Linked DNA regions of Mus musculus. The protein of the gene in region 1 interacts with the protein of each later gene in a biochemical or structural test. Links are inferred from orthologs where the notes say so. Each region holds a gene or a part of one and is shown in the gene's direction. Other genes may lie near its edges.

Region 1 (3,500 bases):
CTCTATTACTTATTCTCTTGAGTTATAATCTACTCTCTCCAGGATTTGGACCGTTCCCCAGGAGCCTTGGACAGTTTCCTGCTGTTCTCTGGCATCAGCTGTCCCAGACTGTTGTATCCATTCCTGTCAAAGACCTAGAGCAGGCACTTCTCCCTGAGGCCTGATTCTGATTACTATTTATTTGTGTGTGTTATTTTGGGGGTGTTCATTAATCTCTTTATTTAAAGCTAAATAGCTTTGACCCACAGCACCAGCTACAAGAGATTTAGAAACAATTACTAAAAATTCTACATGTTTTATCATTACTGTAGGTCCAACGACTGGTTCTTTGGTTTTCTAAAATCAATTCACCCTTAACTTTGGCTTTTTTCTCTTGATGTTTATATTTCTCTTTCCATTTATTACTATACGTAACACTTTCCACAAAATTTAGCTTGTGTTCCCTATAGGAGCATCTTGAAATATTGTTACATTGAAATAAGCTAATGATGTGAATTTTAACAGACTTCTTTAAAAAGAAAGTATATACCTAAGGGATGAATGTTGGAACCATCACCTAAGGTGGGGAGGGAGGACATTCAGCCTAATTTTTTTTTTAATTTACAAAATGGATAAGTTGTTCCAGGAATATAGTGCTGTCCATGTAAGTTGATTTCCAACTTTATAAAAACTAGTTAAATGATATAAACAATGAGCATTAGGACTTTTTCTAGCTCAAGTTTGTAATAATTATAAATCTCTAACATTGAAGATGGACTGAGGCATACTTCAGAAGTTCTAATTTAATAATTTCAAGATATAAATGTAAAGTAATTATAGTGACTCAGCATCTGTCTTGATTTTTGTTGCTATGATAAAATGTCATGACCAAAAGCAAGTTGGAGAGGAAAAGAGTTTATTTCAGCCTACAGTTCCACAATTCAGTTTATCATCAAACCAGAACAGCTCCTCCTGCCCCTGCCTCCTGAGTACTGAGATTAAAGGTGTGTGCCACCACCACCTGATGGCATCTCTTAAGAAAACCAACTTACTGGTTTTCATTTTGTGTCACTGTTTCCAAAGTTTGATGCTCAAACTTTCATCTGTGCACACTGCTGCAGAGAGCTCTATTCTGTTACTCTGACTTTCCCCCTTTCTGTTGCAGGGTTATACCAAGTCCATTGATATTTGGTCTGTGGGCTGCATCCTGGCAGAGATGCTATCCAACAGGCCTATCTTCCCAGGAAAGCATTACCTTGACCAGCTGAATCACATCCTGGGTAAGCTCTGAACATGATCTGGATTTACGTTAGTCACCTCAGGCTCACTCTAGCATGGTTGCTTTGTTTTGTTTTCATGTTCTCTACTTTAAAAATATTAAAGATCTTTTTGTAAAAACTTGTAGTGTAAAGTAAATACATTAAATATAGAATCTCTGTTGCCCCGTAGGTGATGTGTGCAATCTTGACAATTGACAGCTAATGTTTTGTCTGATAGGTATTCTTGGATCTCCATCACAGGAAGATCTGAATTGTATAATAAATTTAAAAGCTAGAAACTATTTGCTTTCTCTCCCGCACAAAAATAAGGTGCCATGGAACAGGTTGTTCCCAAATGCTGACTCCAAAGGTAAGACTTGCTTCATTGATGTTTTTTCTTAAACTTAGCTTTAGATTTACTTATTGTATTGGCTAAATTATCAGGCTCCAGCTTGAAAACTGAACAAGTTAACTCGTAACTATTGGGTATTTTATTTAAAATGTGTTAGACTGGAAAGCTGGTTCATTGGGTGAGGTTGTAGACCACTCTTGAAAAGAACCTGATAGATTGTTTGTCTCTCCCTCCCTTCCTTCCACCGTCCTTCCCTCTCTCCTCTCTCATACATAGACACACAGTTGACTCAAGTAGACAGTGTTGAGAGGATCTGAATGGGCCAAGGAGAAGGCAGCTCATTGCCATAACAGCTCATCCTTGTGTCTTTATGGATAAAAATGTACATGCACATTTTTACCTAAGATTTTTTTTTTACTTTAAAAAATGTAGTATTTTAATTTTTATAAAAGTTTTTATATTGCAGGCATATTTTTAGAATTTGAAATTAGCTTCTATTGCGTGTATGTAAGTACGCTGTCGCTATCTTCAGACACACAAGAAGAGGGCACCAGATCCCATTATAGATGGCTGCGAGCCACCGTGTAGTTGTTGGGATTGAACTCAGGACTCTGAAAGAGCAGTCGGTGCTCTTAACCACTGAGCCATCTCTCTAGCCCAACATCATTGTCAGTGGTTCCACTCTTTTCCTTTCGGTGCATTCATCTGACTTGCCATTGATGGTTTTATAGTAGTCATCTGCTGGGAGCTCAGTTTCTACATGTTATTGTGTTCGTTCATTCTCTCCCTCCTCTTTAGTGTCTAGCTGAGAGAGAGTTTGTACTCTGCTAATCTTATAAGACAAGAGAAACCCTCAGGTGTCACCATCCACCTTTTTTTTTTTTTAACAGTGTCTCTACCTGGCCAGCAAGCCCCAGGGTTCTGTTTATCCTCCTGACTTTTAGTGCACTCTGAGGATTGAAATCAGGTCCTTACTATGTCCAGGCAATCACTCTACCTACTGTTCTATCTTCCCAGCCCAGAAACGTTTAACTTAGATAGCCAGGAAATGCATGGACCTGAGTTAAGATTTAGAAACTCCTTCTGTCTCTGATACAGTACAATATGTTATCACAGATAATGTTTGGAAATATAAAAGAAATATTCCTAATTACAAGAATCTCAAAATTGGGGGTGGGGATTGTTTATAACAAGGTCTTACTGTATAGCAAGGTTGGCCTCAGTTCCCACTTTCTGGGATCATATTCCTAAACCACCAGGTCCAGTTTTCTAAAATAGCTTTTAGCATCTTGTGGCTATAACAAAGTTAGGTATGTAGAATCGTGGTTATTTAATTGTTCTATTTTAAAAATTGGAACTTGACCCACACGATTCATTAACTTTTAAAAAAAACTTTGTGGGTTGGTTGGTTGGTTGGTTTTTCAAGTTAGGGTTCCTCTGTAGCCCTGGCTGTCCTGGAGCTCACTCTGTAGACCAGGCTGGCCTTGAACTCAGAAATCCTCCTGCCTATGCCTCCCAAGTGCTGGGATTAAAGGCATGCGCCACCACTGCCCAGCTATCATTTGTTTTTTTATTTTTTTATTATTTATATTCAGAAGTCAGAGAGCATGCAAGAATTGGTTCTCTCCTTCCACCAGGCTTGGCCAGATGAGCCATTACTTACTACACATTACATTTAGATTGGCTTGTGTATTTCATGTACTGAGCATTTTATCTGCTTTTCAGAGGTGCTCTCTTAGGGGGTTTAGACATTAGAAAACTTGATGGTTAAGATATAAGCCAAGCAGGGTAGTGGTGTTACATGACTTTAATCCCAGCACTTGGGAGACAGAAGAAGGCAGATTTCTTGAGTTCGAGTCCAGCCTGGTCTACAGAGTGAGTTCCAGGACAGCCAGAGCTACACAAAGAAA
Region 2 (3,500 bases), on another chromosome or scaffold:
AAGTAGTTATATGTGGCAAATAACTACTTACAAATAACAAATACTTTTATGTAAGTGGTATGTTCATTATGAGCCTCCATAAACTACATACTCCTGTCATTACACTTCAACTTAGTGAAATGACCACCTTTTCCATTCCCAGCTATATAATGCTTATGTGGAAACTCAGGATCAGTTGCTTTTGGAAAAACAAGAAAATAAAAGGATTAATAAGTATCTGGATGAGATAGTAAAAGAAGTGGAAGCCAAAGCACCGATTTTGAAACGCCAGCGCGAAGAGTATGAGCGTGCACAGAAAGCTGTGGCCAGTCTTTCTGCAAAGCTTGAGCAAGCTATGAAGGTTGGTTCATTTCTCAACTTGACCTTTAGGCACAGCTACTACTGAATCATCTTGTACTGGCTACTTTTCTCATAACACTCTTTGCACTAGAAAAGCTTGAGGCTTTCACTCCCACGATGACAAATTCTGACTTTGACTCAGCTAAATTGTGAGAGTCTCTTACATATGTTAAGGTGATTGAGAGGGAAATCTTCTTGGACCACTCTTCAAATATTCTCATAGTGCATTAGAATGTTGGCTAATTTAGCATAACCATTTTTTTTCTTAGAGGGTTTGATAAGCCTGTCTAGAATAATCATAGCTTGATATTAGGTCACAGATTTTTACATCAATTCAAAATTTAGCCTGCCTTAGTATGCATTACTTTATAATAGCTCCTTTGCCATGTTAAAGGTTGCACGTTCGTGACTACCCTTTTGCTATCAGAGGGTATGTTTTACTTAATGATGTAAGAGTTTATACTCTAATTTACCTTTATGGTACAGCTTTTTACAGAGAAGTCTTGAAGATTTAAGAGAATTTTATTGAGGAAATGTAGATAAATACATTTATATCTCCTATTAACTGATATGTTTTTTTCTTGGAGAATTTGAGTAAATTGTATCCTTAATTCTGAATTAAATCTTCTGTTATAATATAGAAGCCGCTGACATTGAGAAGTAGCTAATAAAGTGTTTTACAGCAGTGTAACTTTACTCATTGTGCCCTAAGGGACTGTTGGCAATCTGACAAATTAATCTTGTATTTCTATTTTCAGAGAGGTCTCTTGGGACCAATTAGATCTTTTAAGTTTCTCTGTTAATAGGATATTGCCTTGATCTTCTTGGTATGTGAAGTGCATGTCGTTAGTTAAATGGCAGATAGACATCAATTAGAATAGCAGCTTTCAACTTATAAAACAGTTTGTTCCTTCACTGTCAAAGAATAATAAAAGGGCTTAATGGTCATTTCTTCATTTTTTTTTAATAACTGGCATTTTCTATCCACAACATGAATAATGTGTTTTCTAGTGTAAATCTTCAGCTCTTAATTTGTAGGGTTCTAATCGCAATCCCACTGCATCTACTTTGCATCTTAATTCACCTTGTTTGTACTTAGTAGGTTTATGAGTGCTGTCTTTTCTGACTATTTCTATACTTCTATTTTCACGTTTCCTCTTGCACCTACACATAGCTTCTTAAAGGTGTATGAACTAACGAGATATATTTAAAAGTATATGAAAATAACTACGAACCTAAATATGCATAAATTGGAAATAGAACACAGATTTCCCTTTAATCCATCTGATCTTGTGCTAATGGGAGGGTTCTCAAAACTCCACCTCAAACTATGGATACTGCAGAGCTCACCTACTAAGTGGGTACTGTTTTGGTTGCTGCTTCTTTGCAAATTGCCACAGACTTTTAATGAAGTCTTCTGTGTCTTACCCAGCATATTTAGTTTTGACATCTCAAGTGTTTCAGTCTAACTGTGATTACCATTGATCCTTCTGATCATGATTCTGGGGTCATTTGGAAATGCACTGGGAATTTGATACTTATTTTTGCATAGTTGTATTTGACAACTTGTTAAGGGTAGAAAATGCTTTTTATTGTCATATATATATATATATATATATATATATATATATATATATATATATATATATACACATACACTATATTTCTATTATTATTTATATCCTGGGTGACACTGAGTTTTCCCTTGTGTTTATATTTTAAAGGAGATTCAGCGATTGCAGGAGGACACTGATAAAGCCAACAAACATTCATCGGTACTTGAAAGGGACAATCAGAGAATGGAAATACAAATAAAAGACCTTTCGCAACAGGTTAGGACATTTTGTGTGATTTCCAGTTTCTTTGTGATGCTTGAGTCTGCATCTTATGTCTCACGACGTCTCTTCTAGGAAAGGCGTATGTATTCTCGTCCTGTAGCACTTACATACCATCTTGTCACTGTCTTCCCAGAGATTTTTGATTGATTTTCACATTGTTGGTGACATTTGTAATAAGTACACAAACAATTGAAACAGGAAGCGTTTTTTTGTTGTTGTTCCCCATGTCCTAAGAGTGTAACCAGTGTTAGCAAGTTGGCGTGTATGTGTTTCATGCCATTCATGTATCAGTAAGTACATATCTGAATATATAAGTGTGTTTTTGTTAAAATTAGGTTACACTATGCATTACTCACTACTGCTATTTCTTGAGAAGGGGACTTGAACAACCCTTCCTCATCTTTCTGGGTGCTGGGATTTTAGGTGCACACCACCATGTCTGCTCTTCCTCTACCTGCCATATAAAACAAGCACTAAATAAGTTACTTGTAGTTTCATGTTAAAAAAATAGCCATTATTCTGAAATTGTATTTTTCTACTTTCTGTAAGTTTTCTTTATATTAAAAGTAACTATTTCAGCTGGGCAGTGGTGGCATGCTCCTTTATCCCAGCACTTGGGAGGCAGAGGCAAGTAGATTTCTGAGTTCAAGGCCAGCCTGGTCTACAAAGTGAGCTCCAGGACAGCCAGGGCTATACAGAGAAAGAAACCCTGTCTGGAAAAACCAAAAATTTTTTTTTTTTAAAGCTATTTCGTTAAAATCTTTTCTTAGATTTTTTTTTTTTTTAGCATTAAAGTGATAGATTTTGATGTTTTTAAAAATACTATATATTAGCTTTGGTTGGTTGGGTTTTATAACATTAAATTTTTGTTTCTAGATAAGAGTGCTCTTGATGGAACTTGAAGAAGCCAGGGGTAACCATGTAATTCGGGATGAGGAGGTCAGCTCTGCTGACATCAGTAGTTCGTCTGAAGTGATTTCGCAGCACCTAGTATCTTACAGGAACATCGAAGAGCTTCAGCAGCAGAATCAGCGTCTGCTATTCGCTCTTCGAGAACTTGGGGAAACCAGGGAACGAGAAGAGCAAGAGACAACTTCCTCTAAGTAAGCAGTGACCATGGCAGTGACCATGGCTAAGCACTGGGTACTGGGCTTAGTGTGTCCTTAGAGATGCTGGGTAATGGAGGTGCTTAGGGAAACTGAGCAACGATTCTATGGAATTATTTTTAATAAGGCGGTAAACTTCCGTTTAATATGACTAGTGCTAAAATAGGTAAACTTGGCAGACTTCATTTAAGTTTCAAGAAAGAAGTCTTCATGGAAA
Region 3 (4,053 bases), on another chromosome or scaffold:
GTGTGTGTGTGTGTGTGTGTGTGTGTGTGTGGCGGTGTTCAAAAAGCGGGGAAGAGGAAGGACATTATAATGTCAGGTTAGCCCAAAGCTTCTTAAGAAAAAAACAAATTTAGACCTTTGTAAGCAACTGGGTGGGCAGTGGTCTGAGTGAGGTCCATTGCCGAAGAGGCAGAAGGGAAACCTGCGAATAGAAGCAGAAGATGAACAGTCTTGAAGGGAGCTTGGCTGAGGGACATTTGGCCTTAGAGTAATTAGTCACTAGAATGGTAAGGATCTTCATCCTACCAACTTAGGTAAAGGAACTAAAAGTGCATATATTTGCACACTGTGCGAGCCTCGTTAAAGGTACAGGATTGGAGCGGAGAAGTCGAGTTAAGTTGATAAGGCTTGAGTGGCTCAGCTGTGAAAAGCTCTCCTTACTTTCCCAGAAGACCCGGGTCTTATTCCTGCGACCGCGTGGCAGTTCGCAACCATCCATAAATCCAATCCTAGCCTTTTAACAACCTCATTTGACCTCTGAGGGCAATGACACACAGGCGTGGTGGACAGACAGGCATGCAAGCAAAATACCCCAATACATTATTTTTTAAATTAATGATAAAATCTTAGGTAATTATTTCCATAAAACACCAAAGACCGTTCCTTTCCTTCGTATTACACGGGTGTACTTCCCTACCCTGTAAGTATGACCTCCCTGTTTTCAAGCACTCCAGTCAAAGACTTGAGGCTTGAATTTAGTGGAAGTACAAAGATTGGAAGAAAGAAGCCTGGGGTGAGCTCATTGGCAAGAAGGGGGCGCTCTCGGAATATCCCGTTTGCTTAAACACAGCAGGCTGTAAGTGGGAACATTTGCCCAACCAGGCCAGAACTCGCTGCTTGCCTATGCTTCACTAGGGTGGGGACATACTGGGAAACTGGTCAGCCTGCAAGCATTTAGTTGCCACAGTGAGCTGAGTCCACGCGTGATTCAAAAATGTGAGGAAGGAACCAGATGAGTGGCCCCCTCCACTTCCCTCCTTGGGTTTCTGTGGTCCTGGCCCCGCCTCTTCCCTCCCCACTCAACTCCTCCCCCCGCCCAGATTTAGGAGGAACTCTAGGACCTCAGATTTAGGAGGTCCCTAAAGCTAGCCTCCAGCCCCTCCTCCCCCTCCTCCTCCTCGTGGAGCTTGTTCCCCTCGCAGTCTCAGCTAAGACCCGGAGAGGTGGAATTTCGATTTGAAACTCCCTAGCCAGGGCCGGAGCTGGGCATGCTCAGTGCCTCGGTGTGTCTCGGCTGCTGCTAGCTGCACAGGCAGCAGAGGCGCTGCCTGGCTCGGAGGCTGGCACTAGAGTCCACCCCACTGTCACCACCGGCTGCGGGCTTCCAGAAGGCCAAACTCTCACCTCTTCTGAGCGTCTTGCCCCCATCAGCCTCGAGTCCCCATCTCCCGCAGCATCCTACTCTCGTATCTCCCCATCCCTTGCGGAGAGGAAGCAGGTGCTCGGTTCTGTAGGCACGCCACAGACTGCTCTGTGTACCCCAGCGGAGGACCCTGTCATCGGATGCCCGGGATCAAAGGACTCTTGGCAGTGGTTCTCTCAAATAGCACTTAGCCTAGAGTGGGGTTGCGGCGGAGTTTCTCCTCTGACCCTCAATGCACACACTATGAGGAGAGCGGTCGGCTTCCCTGCGCTGTGCCTGCTTCTTAATCTTCATGCTGCAGGTAAGGGCTTGCGGGGTTCAGAGCTGAAGCTAAGGAGAAGATGGGAAACAGCACACGCTAGAGGACTCCAGGGAAAGCTTGCCTGGCAGAGAAAGATTTGGGATAATGTCTGAGGGGTGAGAGAGTGCACCTGTTGGAAGGCTAGGGCTGAAAACTTAGGCTAAATTCAGCTCTCCCTTCTTTATCTTGCATGGCGAAGAGTGAACAGTTTTTAATGTGAATATAGATTTGGTCCCCCCTCCATTGAGCTTTCCTGCTTGTGCTTCTAGGCTTTGCGCTTGGTTGCACATTTTACAGGGAAAAAGAGATGAGACACCCTGCTGGATGAAGCCCTTCCTACTGCAGCGGCTACATCCATAAGATCTCCCAGTGTAGCGAGCGCTCACGGGGATGCCCTGTCTGTAACCTGACGGTCTGCATCTCCGCCCCTAAGAGCCAAATGCTCGGTTTATTCATCATGCTGCTCTAGGCTGCTTTGGCCCCTGCTCTTGTCATTCGGGTTTTCTGAACCAATAAGAGGAAGGAAAGGTTTCAAACCGGAGGCTCCTCTCTATTTCAGCACCACGGTCAGTATCCGCAGTCAGTAAAGAAAAACCCAACCACGCTGACAAGCCTGGGGGTTTTTTATCACTGTGTCCCCAGGATAGATTGGATGGGAGGCAGCGAGAGTGTAAACACATAAAAATAGATTGGACACAAGAATCACTGTGTAGTTCTAGGGATGCACAGCTGATAAAGTGCCTAGGAATTTTATATTCGGTGTCACCTGGCTCCTCTAACCCTGTGGACAGGCTCACTGGACTGCACCCTAGGTGATTTTCACACACGGGAACCAAAATAAAACATGGCAGAGAGATTTCAGGAACCCTGCCGAGACCGCAGTTGTCCATGCAGTGATCCTGTAGCAAGCACAGACCTTTTCTTTGAGTTTCTTTCACACGCATTCATTTCTCTAAGTACACCGAGTGGGAGTGTATTATGCTACTGTGAACACACACACACACACACACACACACACACACACACACACCTACAATCCTTGTTATAGTGCTCCAAAAGACTGAGTGTTTTTTTTTTCATGTATGCAATGATGGGAGTGAGATGTAGTACTTTTTTTGTCCCAGCAATTGCTATTTAAATGCATTGTGAATTTAGAAACAAACAATGTATAGGAACAATAAGGCTATAATTAAGGATGTGTGTTAATTATCATAGATACAATATTACATTGTGGGGTGTTCAGTGGTTCTCTGGTATCTTGAAAAACCAGTGGGAGAAAAAGCTATGATTTGGTCATTAAATTATTTGCAAACATTTCATTGCCACATGTAATTATTTAACGTTAAAATATATGATGATGAAAACATGAACACTGTTATTGTTTTACATCCAATACTGTTTAATGGTACAACTGAAAAAATAGCCATTGCCAAAAAAAAAGTTTTCATTGCTATCCAGTTAAGTAATTAATTATCTGATAAAATACATCAGTGAAGTTATTCTTGAAAATTATGTATAAACAAATGTTAGGGATTGTAATTAATGCATACTAAGTAGTTATAAGCTTGAAATTATAAATAGACTTCATATTAAGCATGCAGAAAACATTTCTAATTTATTATGGATGAACCCTGGGGATAAGGGAAATAGAGAGCATTTTCTCATCAGAGGTGAAACCTGGAAGTCTGCATCCCTCGATGAAGTCTGCATCCCTCGATGATGTCTGGAGGTTTGCCAAAGTGTGTATTACAAAAGTCAAAGCAAATCTATAATCTGCACTTTGCCTTCTTAACATGTAAAAAAAGATTAAAAATAAGATTATCCAGCCAAGTTTAGTTTCATAAGGCAACTGGTGATTTACTACATATTTCAGGTTTCAATTGCAGTATGCTACATATACATTAATTGTATTTGTATTTAATACAGTGCTTTGGAATGGTGTCTTGTCAAAGCAGATTACAAGTCTGGGATTGTAATTGTCTTGCCAGTTTCATTTTGGATTCATTTTTAATTTTAAACAGCAATTTGTGGGTCACAGGCTGTCATCAGATTAAAATGCATCAGAGCTACCTAATATTACTGTTTGGGCTTTTCATCAGAACTCAAATAAATGTGGCTTTCTTGACCTCTGCTCCCACAGATTTAGGTAATCAGAAAGTAAGTGGCTGGGAGAGCAGAGATCAAGAAGCCTCCAAGCCTTTTACTTGTTGAATATCTGAGCTTGTCTCTTGTAAAGAAAGCCACATTCCCAGGGCAGAGGCTGACTCTATTTTTAGAAAGGACAGTGACACCTATACACATTAGCTGCTTGGCTGAAAAGCTAATTGCTCGATATCAGTCATACCCAGGT
Region 4 (3,500 bases), on another chromosome or scaffold:
GGTTACTGACAGTTTGACAGCAAAACCATACAGCATTTTCCTAGCAATCCCACCCCGCCCCCACCCCCATCCCCGCCCCCGCCCCAGGCCAGAAGTTAAGGCCCAGCTAATCTTTTGGTGGTGCTGTTTATTAATAGTGATCTTGAGAGGAAGATGGGAGTGGATGTGCACAGCTCTGGGCCTCTCAGGACCTGACCTCCTTAGCCCAAGAGGGTATCAGACAACGTGAAGCACTCCTGGGTGATACCCCATATGCAGGAGCAGCCCACTTCGTGTTGTGAGGTTACTGTATTTAAACTAACAAAAGGAAATTCTGCTCATGTTCTAGACCCTGGTGGGCAGCAACGGGACCATTCTGACCACAATGCCTGTGATGATGGGGCAAGAGAAAGTTCCTATCAAGCAAGTGCCTGGCGGCGTGAAGCAGCTGGATCCTCCCAAAGAAGGAGAGAGGCGGACAACACACAATATCATTGAAAAGCGCTACCGGTCCTCCATCAACGACAAAATCATAGAGTTGAAGGACTTAGTCATGGGGACAGATGCCAAGGTAAGAGCCAGGAAGAGCACTGACTCAGGCCCAGTGTCGCCTTGGTCTCTGTCATGCAGTTAGGGAAGGTGCAGCCTTAATGAGTGGACACAAAAGGAAGTTAGAGACGGATTTTTGTTGAATAATCCTGGTGTTTAACAGGATTGTAGAATACTGCCCAGATATGGTGGCATATGTTTATTATCCTGGCATTCGGGAGACAAGGCAGGAAGATTACAAGTTCTAGGCCAGTCAGGACTAAAAGTCAGTTCCGTGAGTGAATGAATGAATGAATGAATGAATGAGGAGGCTTTCAGAGGCGGGTCAGCAGAAGAGCAGGTGACACTCTTCAGAAGACCTGGGTTCTGTCCTAGCACCCACGTGGTTGTTTACAGTGGCTGTAATCCTAGTTCTGAGGTCCCGTGTCCTCTGTGTGTCTCAGGCACCAGGCAGGCATGACAGGCAGGCAAAATACTCATAAAATAAAGATAAATTAATCTTTAATGAGTAATTATCTAGCATAAATGGAGTGTTGAAGGTTGGTGATGCGATGACGCCTAGTACATTTACTCTGTCACCTGTGCTGTGTGACATGCGGTGAAAGAGGGAGATAGCGCATCCTACCTTGTTGACAGGTATAGGACTATGTGTACCTTGGAGGTAACTTAGGACATTCTTGACTTTTTTGGGTTTTTTTGAGACAGGGTTTGTCTGTGTAGCCCTGGCTGTCCTGGAACTCACTCTGTAGACCAGGCTGGCCTTGGACTCAGAAATCCGCCTGCCTCTGCCTCCCGAGTGCTGGGATTAAAGGCAAGCGCCATCACCGCCTGGCTCTTGACATATTTTATAGTGCTCCCTTTCAGGACAGAAGCAAGAGTGCAGATCAACTCTGCACAAGAGCAAAGCAGAGGAAATTAATTTTTTTTGCATATATCTTTTTTTTTTTTTTTAATGAATGTGTCTCCTGGGAAGTGGGAGGTGCTATTTTTTTTCTTGTTTGTTTGCCACTTGATTTCCTTAAAGTTTGTTTTTATGCTAGATTATTATGTGGATTATTATAGTCAAATAATTATTGTATGTCAGTTTTATGCCAGGTTCCAGGCTATAAACTCTTAACATGTATTGTCTCATGAAGACCTTACTACCAGCCTATGGCTTAGATCCTGCCATTATTCACATGTTAAGGATTAGGAGAAGTGAGGATTTAGCTCATGATAGAGCTAGAATGGGCCAGACCTTGGGTCCGTTGCCTAGGTCCAGTCCCTAGTGATGTGTTAGTCTTGGCCAGTGAAATGAGCCAACTCAGGCCAGATTAGCGTATACAAAGGCGGGTTTAATGGGAACCAGCTCTCCAGTGGGTTCACTGATCCCAAGTAATAAAGCCAGGAAAGTTGGCAAGGCCAAGGGGTTAGGGGTGGGGACGGGAGAAGCTTGAACACACATACAGGGAGAGAGAAAATGCAGAGAGCGGCAGAGAGAAGGAGACAAAAATGTCTCTGTTATATAGGGAAAAACCTCTGGGTAAGGGGTATAGCAGCCGTGCCCTGTAACGGGTAGGGACCAAGAGCTGCTGGGAGAACCTAGAGGCCAGGCCCACTTTGATATGTTAAATATGCATCTCAACGCTTGTCCTGAGTCTGAAACCCAGCACCTGGTACTATCACCACCCCACCAACCAAAAAAAAAGAAAGGAAAGAAAGAAGAGGTCCAGAGTTAGGGCGAGCTCTGTGTCCACCAGCCAGCCATGAGCCGGGCCCTGGCACCTCGCAGCTGTGCTTCCCACGCGTGGACTGTGGGGCTCTGCTCTCTCAGCTCCACACGCACGGCCGTAACTGTGTTTCGTCTGCCTTCCTTCCAGATGCACAAGTCTGGCGTTCTGAGGAAGGCCATTGATTACATCAAATATCTGCAGCAGGTCAATCACAAGCTGCGCCAGGAGAACATGGTGCTGAAGCTGGCCAATCAGAAAAACAGTAAGTCTGCCTGCCGGAGGGCCAGCAGACCTCACAGGGGAAGTCCTGTGGCAGGCACTGAGAGGTGGGACGCACATGTGTGTGAGGCCCCTCTCATGTGGGACTTTATAAAAATGGAGGGACTTGTCTTTGCAGAGCTCCTGAAGGGCATCGACCTGGGCAGTCTGGTGGACAGTGATGTGGACTTGAAAATTGATGACTTTAACCAGAATGTCCTTCTGATGTCTCCGCCGGCCTCCGACTCCGGGTCCCAGGCCGGCTTCTCTCCCTATTCCATTGACTCTGAGCCGGGCAGCCCTCTGCTGGATGACGCAAAGGTATGTGCTTCTGAAATGTCTCACCCTCAGAATCTCTCATTTTCTGTAAAGGAATAGTGGCCACAGAGCGCTGACCCAACCAGCGGTCTAAATGGTGTAAGGTACAGGGGGCTGAATGCCCTGTGCCGTTAGCTGTCTGTGAGGTGGGAGCTGCTCAGTATGGTCCATGCCTGTAACCCAGCCTGGCAGAGGATCTTGAGTTCCAAGCAAGCTGAGGAAGACCACCCTCCCCCCACCCCACCCCCATCCCCCTAGAAAAGGGCCTCTGGATGAAGAAGCCACAGACCCTCAGACCCTCAGACTTAGCAAGTCAGACAGGGAATGAGGACACAGAGCAGCTGTCATGCGGGTGGGCTCTGGGAGCCCCTGGACGCACTCCATTACTCTCCCTGCCTGCCACTAATGGGCCTGGCAAGACCACTTTCTAGGCTGCTCTGCTCGATTAGAGCAAGGCCGCCTCTTGGTGCTCTTTCCGGAAACAACTACAATTTGCAATCTAACAGTTAGCATTCCACCAACTGAGGGCTCTTAAATGGTCCCTGAACAAAAGAGCCCTTGGCAATTGAAGTTTTAATGGAATTAGTTTGCAGAGGCCCTGAGCACAGTGATTTCCCAGAACCTTTGGAAACACTGAATCCTGTCCTGCGTCTTGCAACTGGAGTCTTTCTGACTCCAGAAACA
Region 5 (4,264 bases), on another chromosome or scaffold:
AGGACCTGGACCCTGCCTCGGTTCAGTATACGTTGTCCTCTTTTTACAGGGACTTAGAGAACTACAAGGCCTGCAGAATTTCCCAGAGCCATCTCCCCATTGACTGCATCTTCCCAGCCTCCAATATTAAAGCACCTGAATGCCTTGGAATCACATAGTCCTTTTTTCCCTAATTCTCACTAATTTACTAAGTGCCCTAGAGACCAAAATTACTGGAAGACCCATCCTTTCTGTAGAACCTCTAAAACGTTCTAGAGGTCTTGCCTAGAACTTGTGTTTTTCTCCTGACTTTATGCTTTACTCTCTTTTGTCGCCTTTAGAACCTTGGCCCTGCTCCTCACAATTCCTTTTCCTAGATATTTGTATCTGTGCCCTTTGTCTTACCATAAAGAATGGACTGAATGGGCTGAAGATGAGATTCAATTGGTAGCATGCTTGCCTGTCACACATGAAACTTAAAATTCAGTCCCCAGTACTGTGTACATAAGCTAGGTGTGTGGCACACCTGTGACTTCAAGAGATAGAGGCAGAAGGATTTAAGTTTAAGGTAATCCTGGGCTACATGAGACACTTGAAACAAATTTTTACAGTTCCAGTTCAAAGTAATTTGTTTCCATGGCCGTCAGCTTTTTACTTCAGATCTTAAGGTTTATTGTCTCTCACAGTCCAGTGGTCATCCAGGTACCCTAAATAACACTACTGCCCAACCCTTGACTTGGTCCCTAAATCGTAGTTCTAATAGTTCTACTTTCAACAGTATGCAGAGATCCTGCCCTCCCTGCTACAGCCCCTACAGTCCCTAGGTTTAAGTCCAGTCATAGATCACTAAGAACCTAAATCCACCCTTACAACTGACTGTGGCTAGACTCTGCCCTTGTAGACAGTTAATTTCCACCTCTCATATACATTTCCTCTGTATATCCGGCAGCCATTCCGGCCTCCACCTTTTGCTGAATTCAAAGTTAGTTTTTGCCTAGCTAATTACCCATAGCGTTACCCTACCCCCCTCCACAGAGTTGAGTCCTACCCTGCTGCTATGGCCCTTTCTAAATAAGTCCTGTTTCTGCTGAACGGTATGGTGTACAGCACCACCTACTTTGGTGTTTTGGCCACTGTCTGGGAGAATCCTCCAATCAGCTGAAAACAGCCCATCACCACCCCTCCATCCTCTGGGACTGTCTGTCTGCCATCAATCTCACTTAAGCCAATCGGTGTGAACTGGGCGACCTCCCCATCCCTCCTCAAACCTTGGCACTTGGCAGTCCTCCTTGACCCAATCGGCGTGAGGCACTAGCGCCGCCCAACACCTCTATAGATTCAGTTGGCCACCCGCAGTCCATCAATCCCTTTTAAGCCAATTGTGTTACAGCTCTGTTAGTATTCCTCCACCACCCAGGCCCCTGTGCTTAGGATCCTTGGCATTTTGTCCAATCAGCAAGCAGGAGGACGCTTGGCTCCTCCCATGAGAGCCCACGTGAGCGGTGGGGAAACGCAGGGGCGGCTTCTGGTTGCTGCTTCTGCTGTCGCCGCCACCACCGCCGCCGCCTTGGAACCGGGGCCTGGGGGGCGGTGGGGCCTCGTATGGAGCCCCCGCCCCCCGGAGCTGCCACTGCCACCGCCGCGCCACTCGCAGGTGAGCCCAGGCCCACAAGGTGGAGGACCCTGTCCATGACCCCACGTATCCTCACCCCCGCGCAAGGGATGTGGTTTGGCCCAGCCTGCTGGTATTTGGCTCCACTACCATCAACTGATTGCCCCTGTGTGTGCATTGCCTGCTCCTTTTGCCCTTTATAGTAGATCTGAACGTGGGCTAACATCCTGCTGTCTGTATAATGGATCTGTCTGTGAGCTTATGATTTTCCCCACCCCAACTTAATGGACTCGTCCGTGGTCTTGCCCTCCCCAACCCCCACTTATTGGAAACCAGTCTGTTGCATTGTCCAGTCCCCCTTTAGTCGTAGCTGTGTCTAAAGTGTTTCCATTTCCCCTAGCCTCAAATTTAAGGGGAACCTTCTGTGGCTTTGTTTACTGAACCCCTCATGTTTATTGTAGTGAATCAATCTGTGGCACTGTTCCCACTTAAGACACCCCATTGTTTGTTCAACAGTGAGTCCACCTAAGTTTACATTATTGCCCCCCTTGAGTCCCCAGTGCATAAGCCCATGACTTTATCCACCTCCTCCCATTGCCCCCATCTTACTGTGAATTAGTTTGCATGCTTGCATTCATATTCCTCTAGTTATCACCGCCCTAACTTTTCTCCCTTATTTGTAGACTCCAGTCTTTGAGCTGCTTCCTTTTAACAGTGGGTCAGTTTGGTGCTTTGCAATTTTTATTTTCATTTTCAACAGCCCAGTCTATGGCCTTGTCCTATCCTTCACTTTAATTAATTATTATGTGATGGCTTTTCTTCTCTGCGGTTGTATAGGTATCAGCTTAAACCACATCTCACTTTTGTAATGAATGAGTCTGTTCAGAAGCCTTCTGCCACCCCAGTGTTTACAGTCTCTCAAATCCTCAGAGCTTGCAATCCCTCCCCAAAGGGGATAGATAGGCTTTGTACTTTATTTCCCTCCTCCTCCTCCTATGTATTGGGTCAGTCTTCTCTGCCCCCATCTCCTAGGAAGTCCTGTGTACTTGTAAAACCCAGGGACTTTTAATATATGCCATGTTCCTCATAAACTCTCTTTTTGTTTGTTTGTTTTTTGTTTTGTTTTTGTTTTTTGTTTTTTTTTCAAGACAGGGTTTCTCTGTATAGCCCTGGCTGTCCTGGAACTCACTCTGTAGACCAAGCTGGCCTCGAACTCAGAAATCCGCCTGCCTCTGCCACCCAAGCGCTGGGATTAAAGGCGTGTGCCACCACTGCCCAGCCCTCATAAACACTCTTAGCCACTAGGCATTTTACTTTGCTATAGTTCTCAACTATAGTAGTGGTACTATTGCTAATGACAGTCGGATCTAACTTTATACTTTACACTTGCTGTGTACCAGGCAGTATTCTATAGTCTCCAGCTTGCTTATAGTCTCCAGTCTTCATCATAGCCCTGTGAGACAGATAACTGAGAAAACTAGGGCATGTGGGTTCACAGATGGCCCAATAACTACTTAGATAGGGGAACACTTTTGACATGCCCCTCTCTCACCTCATTGCATCCCATATGAGGGCACATTCCTTAACAGCCAAATTAGTTTCAATCACCCAGCTTTTGTTTCTGCTGTTCTTTCTGACAACAGAGCTGTCTCCATTCTACTCTGTTCTCAGGACCCATCAGCTCAAGTCCTAGCAGTGGTGTGACTTTACATGAATGACTTAACTACTTTCTTCCTGTACTGGGCTAAAATGGGGGAGTCAGAACTATAGCCTTTCCAGTGTGAAAAAAATGTGTGGGTTAAACAAGTCACCTCACTGACCTTATCTCTTTCATCTCCACATTTCAGATCCATGCTATAGCCATGCTAACCTCACTGCTTCTCAAAAACAGCCGGTACAGGCCAGCCTCAGGGCCTTTGCATTAGCTCTTCTTTCTCCATTAACACTACTCCCACATCTCTGTATGGTAACTTTCAAGGTACTGTACACTTGCCATACCCAAAGGAATTTTTTCACTACCCTGTGCAGGGAACACACTAAAGATATTTGTAAGAATGTCATTTGATTTGTGAATAAAATGAGCGTAAAGGAAATGTGATGTTGGTGATATGAAAAGGCACAAATAGAAAAGATGTTTCAGAGAGTGCTTTCATGTCTTTGCATCTTGGGTAGTGTAATTTTAGTAAAACATGTATTTGTCACACTGGTGCTTGGGATATAATGTATAAAGGTATATACATAAAAAGGTTTCAAATATCATTTTTTGTATCAAAGTAGTCAACACCCACCTCTCTTTGACTATCTGATTTTGTATACCGAGCAGGGTTCAGATCTCTTTCCTGCTTGCTTTGGCCCTTTATACTCTGTCATGGTTAGACATGCTATATAGCTTATATAAATAGATATCTGTCTATCCTCCTCAGAATAAACATCCTATGGGAACTTACAGGCTTTATCTGCCCTTCATGTAAAAATATACCTCTGTACAGTAGGTGCTTGGAATAATCTGCTGCACAAATTAACTTGGGGGGTGTAGTATCTAGACGATGAATGATGGCTCACGGCTATATATTTCCAGCATGGAAGACCAAGAGAGAATTTACAGGAAATAAAAACTAGCCTGGGTGACATAGCGAATTCCAGACCAACCTGAACTACAGAGTGAGATGCTGT
Region 6 (3,157 bases), on another chromosome or scaffold:
CGTATGGGAGTCAGAGGGTGACTTTCTAAGAATTAGTTATCTTCTTTGACCACGTGGATCCCAGGGATCAAACTCAGGACATCAGACTGAGCCATCTCACCCAAATTGTTTGTTTTAAGATATCTCTCTTACTCTCTCTCTCTTTTTTTTTTCTTTTTTTTCTTTTTTAGTTTTTCGAGACAGGGTTTCTCTGTATAGCCCTGGCTGTCCTGGAACTCACTCTGTAGACCAGGCTGGCCTCAAACTCAGAAATCCACCTGCCTCTGCCTCACAAGTGCTGGGATTAAAGGCATGCACCACCACGCCCAGCGATATGTCTCATTTTTACTTTATGCATATGAGTCTTTTGTCTTTGAGTATGTATGTGTACCACATGCATGTAGATGCCTACAGAGATCAAAAAGGGAAAAGGGCATCAGATCTCCTGGGACTGGATGCGAGATGCCACTTGAGTTCTGGAAACTGATTCCAGGTCCTCTGCAAAAGCAGCAGTGTTCTTAAGAACTGTGCCACCAGTGTCTCCCCCCCCCCCCCTTCTATGTTATGGTTTTGGTTTGTTTGTTTGTTTGTCGTTTGAAACTGGAGCTTGCTTTGCTGTGTCTTCCTGCCTCCGCTTGGCAGGCTGGGAAGAGGGCTGAAGTTTCATGTTGTGATGGGTAGTTTCCACCACACTTTCACTCGGACTGTTAGAGGTGCTCAGAAATGTTGACTTCTGTGTTCAGGGAAAGCGGTCTCTCAAGCATTACGGGGATCCCGTGGGTTCCTAATGGTGCTATTGACGACGGGCACAAAGTCTCATAATTTTAGAAACTTCACTTATTTTGTGACCCACCTAGTATGGGGCAAAGGCAGGAGCTTCGGACTTCCTGTCTTCCCTCTATCCCTTTGAATAGCGTCTCGGGAGTGTCCCTAAGTAACCATTGCAGTTTTGTGTCCGTGTGCTCTGTTGAAATCTCTGTGATGTGTGTATGGTTTTCACGTGAACGGAGGCAGGCAGAGCCCGGTCTGTGGGTTCTAGTGTGTTCTTTATCTTCTTGGAAGTTTGTGCAATGACTTCCCTCCTGTTTCCTGCGCATACCTCCAAGTAAGTACGTGAATGTGTTTTCTGTGGTCCCTTGATCTTGCTGGACTTCACTAAGGAGGGTGGCTGGACCATCTGCTACGTGTCTGAGAGCCCCTCTCTAGCTACCTCATGTCCGGACGTGAGCTTACTCCCAATGTTTTTACCCACAAGCATTCACTACTCCCAGGAAAGAACGTGCACTGGGGCACCTAGAGAATAACCAATCAAGGCTCCGCCTACATTTTGCTTCCTCCTTGGAATTTCCAGCCCCTTGCAGCCAACTGCTCCCCAGCTGCGAAGGGCGGAGTTCCCCCCGGCCCGGCCCCTTCTTTGGCTCTATAAGTAGCTCTGCTTTGCGGGGGATTTGCACTCCTCTACACTCTCTGCACAACGTCTAAATTATGTGCCACTCGCGCAACCATCTCCACACCATGACTGGCCTGAGGGCCCCTTCTCCAGCTCCCTCCACCGGCCCGGAACTCCGGCGGGGCTCTGGTCCCGAAATTTTCACCTTCGACCCTCTCCCGGAGCGGGCCGTGGTGTCCACCGCGCGTTTGAACACTTCTCGCGGGCACCGAAAACGCAGCCGAAGGGTGCTCTACCCTCGAGTGGTGAGTATCGCCCGAGTGGGCATCAGGAGGTCGCGTCGCCCTGGAACTTGTAGGTAACAACTAGGCGCAGGGACCTTCGATCTGACGTTTCCCTCTTTTATCTGCTCAGGTCCGGCGCCAGCTACCAACCGAGGAACCCAACATTGCCAAGAGGGTCCTCTTTCTCCTGTTCGCCATCATCTTCTGCCAGATTTTGATGGCTGAAGAGGGTGTGTCGCAGCCCCTGGCTCCGGAGGATGCTACCAGCGCCGTGACACCTGAGCCCATTTCTGCGCCCATTACTGCGCCCCCGGTCCTCGAGCCTTTGAACCTGACCTCGGAGTCCTCGGACTATGCGCTGGATCTTAAAGCTTTTCTCCAGCAACATCCGGCGGCCTTCTAAACGCGATGGGTCACAGTCCGAAGAAACAAAGGCACCATGGATGGGTACCTGGTGCGAGAGAACGTATCCCAAACTGGGATTTCTAAGGCAACGCTAACTCAGAACACTACCGCCAAGAGACACCGCGGGTCCTGGCTAGGCCCACTGGGGACGGACAGAGACTTTCTCCGTGTCTAATTAATATTTATGTATTTATGTATATCCTCCTAGGTGAAGGAGGGGTGTATGTAATATTTATTCTAACTTATGCAGGGGTGCGAGATATGCCTCCCTGCTGTAACACAGATATTTATTACGATTTATAGGGTCGGTAAGACAGAGTTGTGGGAGGGAGGACCCGGGTGGTAGGACTCCCAGCTTGGGGATTAGTCTGGGGGGGGTGTAATAAGATTAGGGGTAACACTCCGTCTTCCAGCACTTCAACTCTGTAGTCTGTTGTAAGGCTTTGGAAGACCCTTGGGAATCCGGCCTTTGATGTCTTCTGGTTGCTTCTCAGGGGCAGCTGCAGGAGTCTTGGGTCCATGGATTGTCAGAGGGCGGCTGTCTGGGGTCGCCTAGTATGTATGTTCTGTGAACACGAATAAACTTGATTTGCCTGTCATTATTATCTGCAGTTCTCGAAGTGTATCATTCAAGCGGGGGGGAGGGGGGAGTGGCGGGAGGATGTGACTAGGTGCCCAGTCCTCACCCTTTCTTGGGTCCTGAACTCTTTCTTGGAGTTACAGACCTATATCCGGTCACCGGATGCAGTCATACATTGCTGGGTGTGCGGTTTTCCCAGTTAGAGAGTGGTGTGGCAACCTGCTTACTCATGGCAGGCGGCGGGTATTCAGGAACCAGAGTGGAAGGGCGTGGCCTCGGTTGGGGGCGGAGCTTCCACGCCAATGCTTCGAGCGGGGGGGGGGGGGGGTTGGTTGTTGGTGGGGGGGAGAATGTCTGGCATCCCCCTGGGCTGCCGAGAACTGTAGTGCTGCGGACCCGAGCGGAGCCTGCCGGGAAAGGGGCGGACCGAGGGGTTGGGAGGGGGCGGGGTCGCGTCTGTTGCTGCAACAGGGTGCGGCCGGGTGGGGGGCGCAAGTGCAGCTTCCACTAAGCCGGGTG
Region 7 (3,500 bases), on another chromosome or scaffold:
GGAGTCCTGTTTAAGCTCCATGTAGAGTTTCTACAGACTGGGCTATAGGGTCTGTGTAGATTGAGGAAAGGAGTGTATATCCAGGATTGCAGGTAGAAATGGAAGGAACATAGGCTGAAAAGCTCCCAGCCCAGAAGCTGTGAGGACAGAAAGGGTGGAAGACCTGGACAGGCTTTCCAGAGGGTGAGTCTGCAAGGCTAGCCACAGAATGGAGTGGGGAAGATGCTGTGAGGGATGCTCAGCACAGCAGTGTTATCACGAGTGATGGTAGCATTTGTACAAGCATCAGGATTGACTCCACTGCGGTGTATGAGGCTCCTTCTATATCCGTCTTACACTAACCATCATGAATGCTTAGGACTTTATGCTTAAACGTTGACATTTTCATGATATTTTTCCTTTATATTTTTCAGGGGCGGAAGAGTGTAGAAGAAATAGAGAGCCTTTAATATGTCCCCTTTGTAGATCTAAGTGGAGATCCCATGACTTCTACAGGTAGTAATTTTGAATATCTGATTTGTATATGTTCAACAAAAAATTAAAATGATGTCCTCTAGGCCTTCATGGTAGTACACACCTGTAATCCCAGCTCTTGGTGGAGCTCAGGCAGGAGGATGGTGGGTTCAAGGCTAGCCTGAGCTACAGCAAACCTGGTCCCAATAAATAAATAAATAAACAAACAAACATAAATAAATAAATGGGGGGACTTATATCTGTTAATATCTTGTGGCTAAGTTTTGTTATTTTTCATTTTAGCCATGAGTTATCAAGCCCCGTGGAGTCCCCCACCTCCCTGCGAGCTGTCCAGCAGCCATCCTCCCCACAGCAGCCCGTGGCCGGATCACAGCGAAGGAATCAGGAGAGCAGTTTTAACCTTACTCATTTTGGAACCCAGCAGATTCCTTCCGCTTACAAAGATTTGGCCGAGCCATGGATTCAGGTAGGTATCCCTTTATGTAATTCCCAGAGAGTCCTGTTGGCCATGTCCCGTGTTTGTCCCCGTCCCTCAGCTGTTTCTGATTTAGGGAAGCACTTGGCTTGTGTGACTCCTAGCATGCTAAAACCTTAAATCTGGCTCCTGGGTTATTATTTTCTATATTCACGTTGCACAGCCTACATTTTAATGTTCCTTTGTAGTTTCACCTATCTCCTGTGTCTCTTCCTAACCTAACGTACGTAAGAGGCCGTGCAAGGGGGGAGTTGCAGCCTTTCAGAGCTGACTTCCCCCGTGTAGTCCCCGTTCCTGGCAAGTGTGTCTGCTGTGCACCTGTTTCCTGCTGTGCAAACCCAGTTTCCCCCTTGTGTGTCACCCTGGTACACAGCAGGCACTTGCTGAGAGGACGCACGAGGACTCGGGTTTCTCAGGCTTGGGTGTTTTGGTTGCCTTTTCCTCCTCGGAATGGTTTTTCATCCTCCGTGAACTTGGGTTTTGGTTGGCCAACTTATAAATTATTTTCGTGGTCACTTGAATGCTTACTGTACTATTTTCAAACGTAGGATCTATAGCCAGTGCTTCCAGTAGATAGTATAGTGAGATAGGAGTGAGGTCAGATAGCACCGTGTGGCTAGTTGGCAGGCTCTGGGTGCTGGGCTGTTTGTGAGGCACCTTAACTCATCCAATGGCTCTGATAGAAAAGGGCTGCCTTTCGGCTTCGCGGCCCCTTCTTCTGCGGTCTTGAAATGTACTCTTCCTGTTAGCCACCCGCTCCTTACCAATCTGATAAAATCCACAGAATTTATAGGCACAGCTTAATTCTCCCATCTGGTTTGTGAGCAGTGTCCTGCGGAGGCACATCTCCTTGTTTATTCTCAGCTATGCGATGGCACGGTTTTGAGGCTGTCACCGGCTGTGTCACCGGCTTTACCTTAGGACATCATGGAAGGTTGATTAAAGCTGAAGCAGCGCAGAAAGCTCGAGGCTCTGGCTGGCTCATTCTCCTTAGAGTTTCTTTGTAACAGAACACATGTAAATACATCAGAACCTGTTCCCCACCCCAGAATTGGGTTAAACTTATCTCTCATATTTAGAAGCTTTCACGTATATACGTCGTCTTAGACATTAAGCTTACTTTTTGCTAATTGGTCATGAGGTCAATACCATTTACGGTCCTCCTGTAGAGGAGGTTTGGGGCCTGGTGCTGTAGCCACACAAACATCAACTCTGTTACATCATTGCCCTTCGTTAGTATAAACAAAGCATTCTCTAGTCTCACCTTTCTCTTCTGGTCCCACCTGCTTCATCTTTTCCTACAGGCCAAAAGTAACATAAATTTCTGTGGCTTTTATCTCTTAAGAAAAATATTCTGACTTGAAGTCTCCACACCACTGATATTCCTGCTTTTCCTGCCTTTTTTAAATAAAACTTTGCTTCCTTCTCTATAAAGTATTTTAATCAAGAATAAATATGGAGTTCTTTATAGTTTTTTCTTTTTTTTCTCTCTCTCAGTTTTAGTGTTTTGTTTTAAGATGTATTTGTTTTATATATGTGAGTACACTGTAGCTATCCTCAGACACACCAGAAGAGGGCATCGGGTCCCATTACAGATGGTTGTGAGCCACCATGTGGTTGCTGGGATTTGAACTCGGGACCCCTGGAAGAGCGGTCAGTGCTCTTAACCGCAGAGTCATCTCTCCAGGCAAGGTTTTAGTATTTTTAAGCATAAAGCAAACTATGAAAATGAAGCTACCCAGTTATTAGAACTTACTCGAAGCTCTCCAGTGTTAGTTCCCATGGTTACCAATCAAACTTGAGTAAAGGTATGCCGTGCTCTAAGTGTTAGAGTAACGAGCGTTTCAGACTAAGTGCTGCTGTGCTTTAGTGATTTCTATTGTTTTTGTGACCAATTGCCTGGAAGAAGTAACCCTAGAGGGAAGAATGTGTTTCAACAACTGAAGGGAGCAGCTAACCTTGGGGGGAGGCATGACAGGAGGAGCTAGAGTCTCACTGCATCCACAGACAGGAAGCAGAAGAGAAGAGCTTATTTCTCCTCACTCAGCCCACGAGCTGGTGCTTAGCACATTTACGCTAGGTCCCCCGCCTCAATTAACATAATCTGGAAAGGTCTCAACAGCTATTCCCGCAAGTTTCTAAGTCCCATGAATTTGACGGTCAGGGAACTAGGGTGTGACGCCCATTTCTCCCTGGATGCTATTGGCCATCGACGTGAAGGGAGAAAAGGGAGCAGAGGCAGAGAGAGAGCAGAGTTTGGACGGCTGTGAGTATGGACGAAATGACCTCCAGAGTCTGCTACTTGGGAGGCTGAGACAGGAGGATTGCTTGAGTACAGGAGTTCTAGGCTATAGTGCGCTCTACCGATCAGATGTCCACACTAAGTTCTGATGTTTACACTTAAGTGTTTGCCATTTAAGAACGGGAGTCTGAGTATAATGTCCAGCATGCTATAGAAAGCTGGGTGTGTTGATGTACTTGCAATCCCAGCTCAGTGGCCAGCCAACATGGCCTAGTTAGCCTGATAGAAGAGCCCATCTCCAAAGAGAAA

Evidence for each region.
Region 2: of the proteins of Mapk1 (region 1) and Tpr, one has a biochemical effect on the other in vitro, tested with the Homo sapiens proteins (2 studies listed by BioGRID). The link is inferred for Mus musculus from reciprocal best matches to the Homo sapiens genes MAPK1 and TPR.
Region 3: the proteins of Mapk1 (region 1) and Ptprr form a complex in vitro, tested with the Homo sapiens proteins (2 studies listed by BioGRID, with this or other methods). The link is inferred for Mus musculus from reciprocal best matches to the Homo sapiens genes MAPK1 and PTPRR.
Region 4: of the proteins of Mapk1 (region 1) and Srebf2, one has a biochemical effect on the other in vitro, tested with the Homo sapiens proteins (2 studies listed by BioGRID). The link is inferred for Mus musculus from reciprocal best matches to the Homo sapiens genes MAPK1 and SREBF2.
Region 5: of the proteins of Mapk1 (region 1) and Elk1, one has a biochemical effect on the other in vitro, tested with the Homo sapiens proteins (16 studies listed by BioGRID and IntAct, with this or other methods). The link is inferred for Mus musculus from reciprocal best matches to the Homo sapiens genes MAPK1 and ELK1.
Region 6: of the proteins of Mapk1 (region 1) and Ier3, one has a biochemical effect on the other in vitro, tested with the Homo sapiens proteins (2 studies listed by BioGRID and IntAct). The link is inferred for Mus musculus from reciprocal best matches to the Homo sapiens genes MAPK1 and IER3.
Region 7: of the proteins of Mapk1 (region 1) and Map3k1, one has a biochemical effect on the other in vitro, tested with the Homo sapiens proteins (3 studies listed by BioGRID). The link is inferred for Mus musculus from reciprocal best matches to the Homo sapiens genes MAPK1 and MAP3K1.

Annotation. Positions count from the first base shown.
Region 1 is NC_000082.6:17,024,882-17,028,381, forward strand, and holds part of Mapk1 (mitogen-activated protein kinase 1), read left to right. Parts: intron 1-1,144; coding exon 1,145-1,259; intron 1,260-1,476; coding exon 1,477-1,608; intron 1,609-3,500. UniProt on the Homo sapiens protein: Serine/threonine kinase which acts as an essential component of the MAP kinase signal transduction pathway. MAPK1/ERK2 and MAPK3/ERK1 are the 2 MAPKs which play an important role in the MAPK/ERK cascade.
Region 2 is NC_000067.6:150,409,838-150,413,337, forward strand, and holds part of Tpr (nucleoprotein TPR), read left to right. Parts: intron 1-142; coding exon 143-340; intron 341-2,063; coding exon 2,064-2,171; intron 2,172-3,053; coding exon 3,054-3,280; intron 3,281-3,500.
Region 3 is NC_000076.6:116,017,110-116,021,162, forward strand, and holds the start of Ptprr (receptor-type tyrosine-protein phosphatase R isoform a precursor), read left to right. Parts: upstream 1-1,253; 5' UTR 1,254-1,645; coding exon 1,646-1,703; intron 1,704-4,053. UniProt on the Homo sapiens protein: Sequesters mitogen-activated protein kinases (MAPKs) such as MAPK1, MAPK3 and MAPK14 in the cytoplasm in an inactive form.
Region 4 is NC_000081.6:82,174,769-82,178,268, forward strand, and holds part of Srebf2 (sterol regulatory element-binding protein 2), read left to right. Parts: intron 1-328; coding exon 329-550; intron 551-2,387; coding exon 2,388-2,502; intron 2,503-2,637; coding exon 2,638-2,819; intron 2,820-3,500.
Region 5 is NC_000086.7:20,947,809-20,952,072, reverse strand, and holds the start of Elk1 (ETS domain-containing protein Elk-1), read left to right. Parts: upstream 1-1,464; 5' UTR 1,465-1,633; intron 1,634-4,264. Other genes in the region: protein UXT, read left to right, coding at 50-103. UniProt on the Homo sapiens protein: Transcription factor that binds to purine-rich DNA sequences. Forms a ternary complex with SRF and the ETS and SRF motifs of the serum response element (SRE) on the promoter region of immediate early genes such as FOS and IER2.
Region 6 is NC_000083.6:35,820,255-35,823,411, forward strand, and holds Ier3 (radiation-inducible immediate-early gene IEX-1), read left to right. Parts: upstream 1-1,458; 5' UTR 1,459-1,464; coding exon 1,465-1,674; intron 1,675-1,783; coding exon 1,784-2,056; 3' UTR 2,057-2,657; downstream 2,658-3,157. UniProt on the Homo sapiens protein: May play a role in the ERK signaling pathway by inhibiting the dephosphorylation of ERK by phosphatase PP2A-PPP2R5C holoenzyme. Also acts as an ERK downstream effector mediating survival.
Region 7 is NC_000079.6:111,760,494-111,763,993, reverse strand, and holds part of Map3k1 (mitogen-activated protein kinase kinase kinase 1), read left to right. Parts: intron 1-413; coding exon 414-495; intron 496-756; coding exon 757-940; intron 941-3,500. UniProt on the Homo sapiens protein: Component of a protein kinase signal transduction cascade. Activates the ERK and JNK kinase pathways by phosphorylation of MAP2K1 and MAP2K4. May phosphorylate the MAPK8/JNK1 kinase.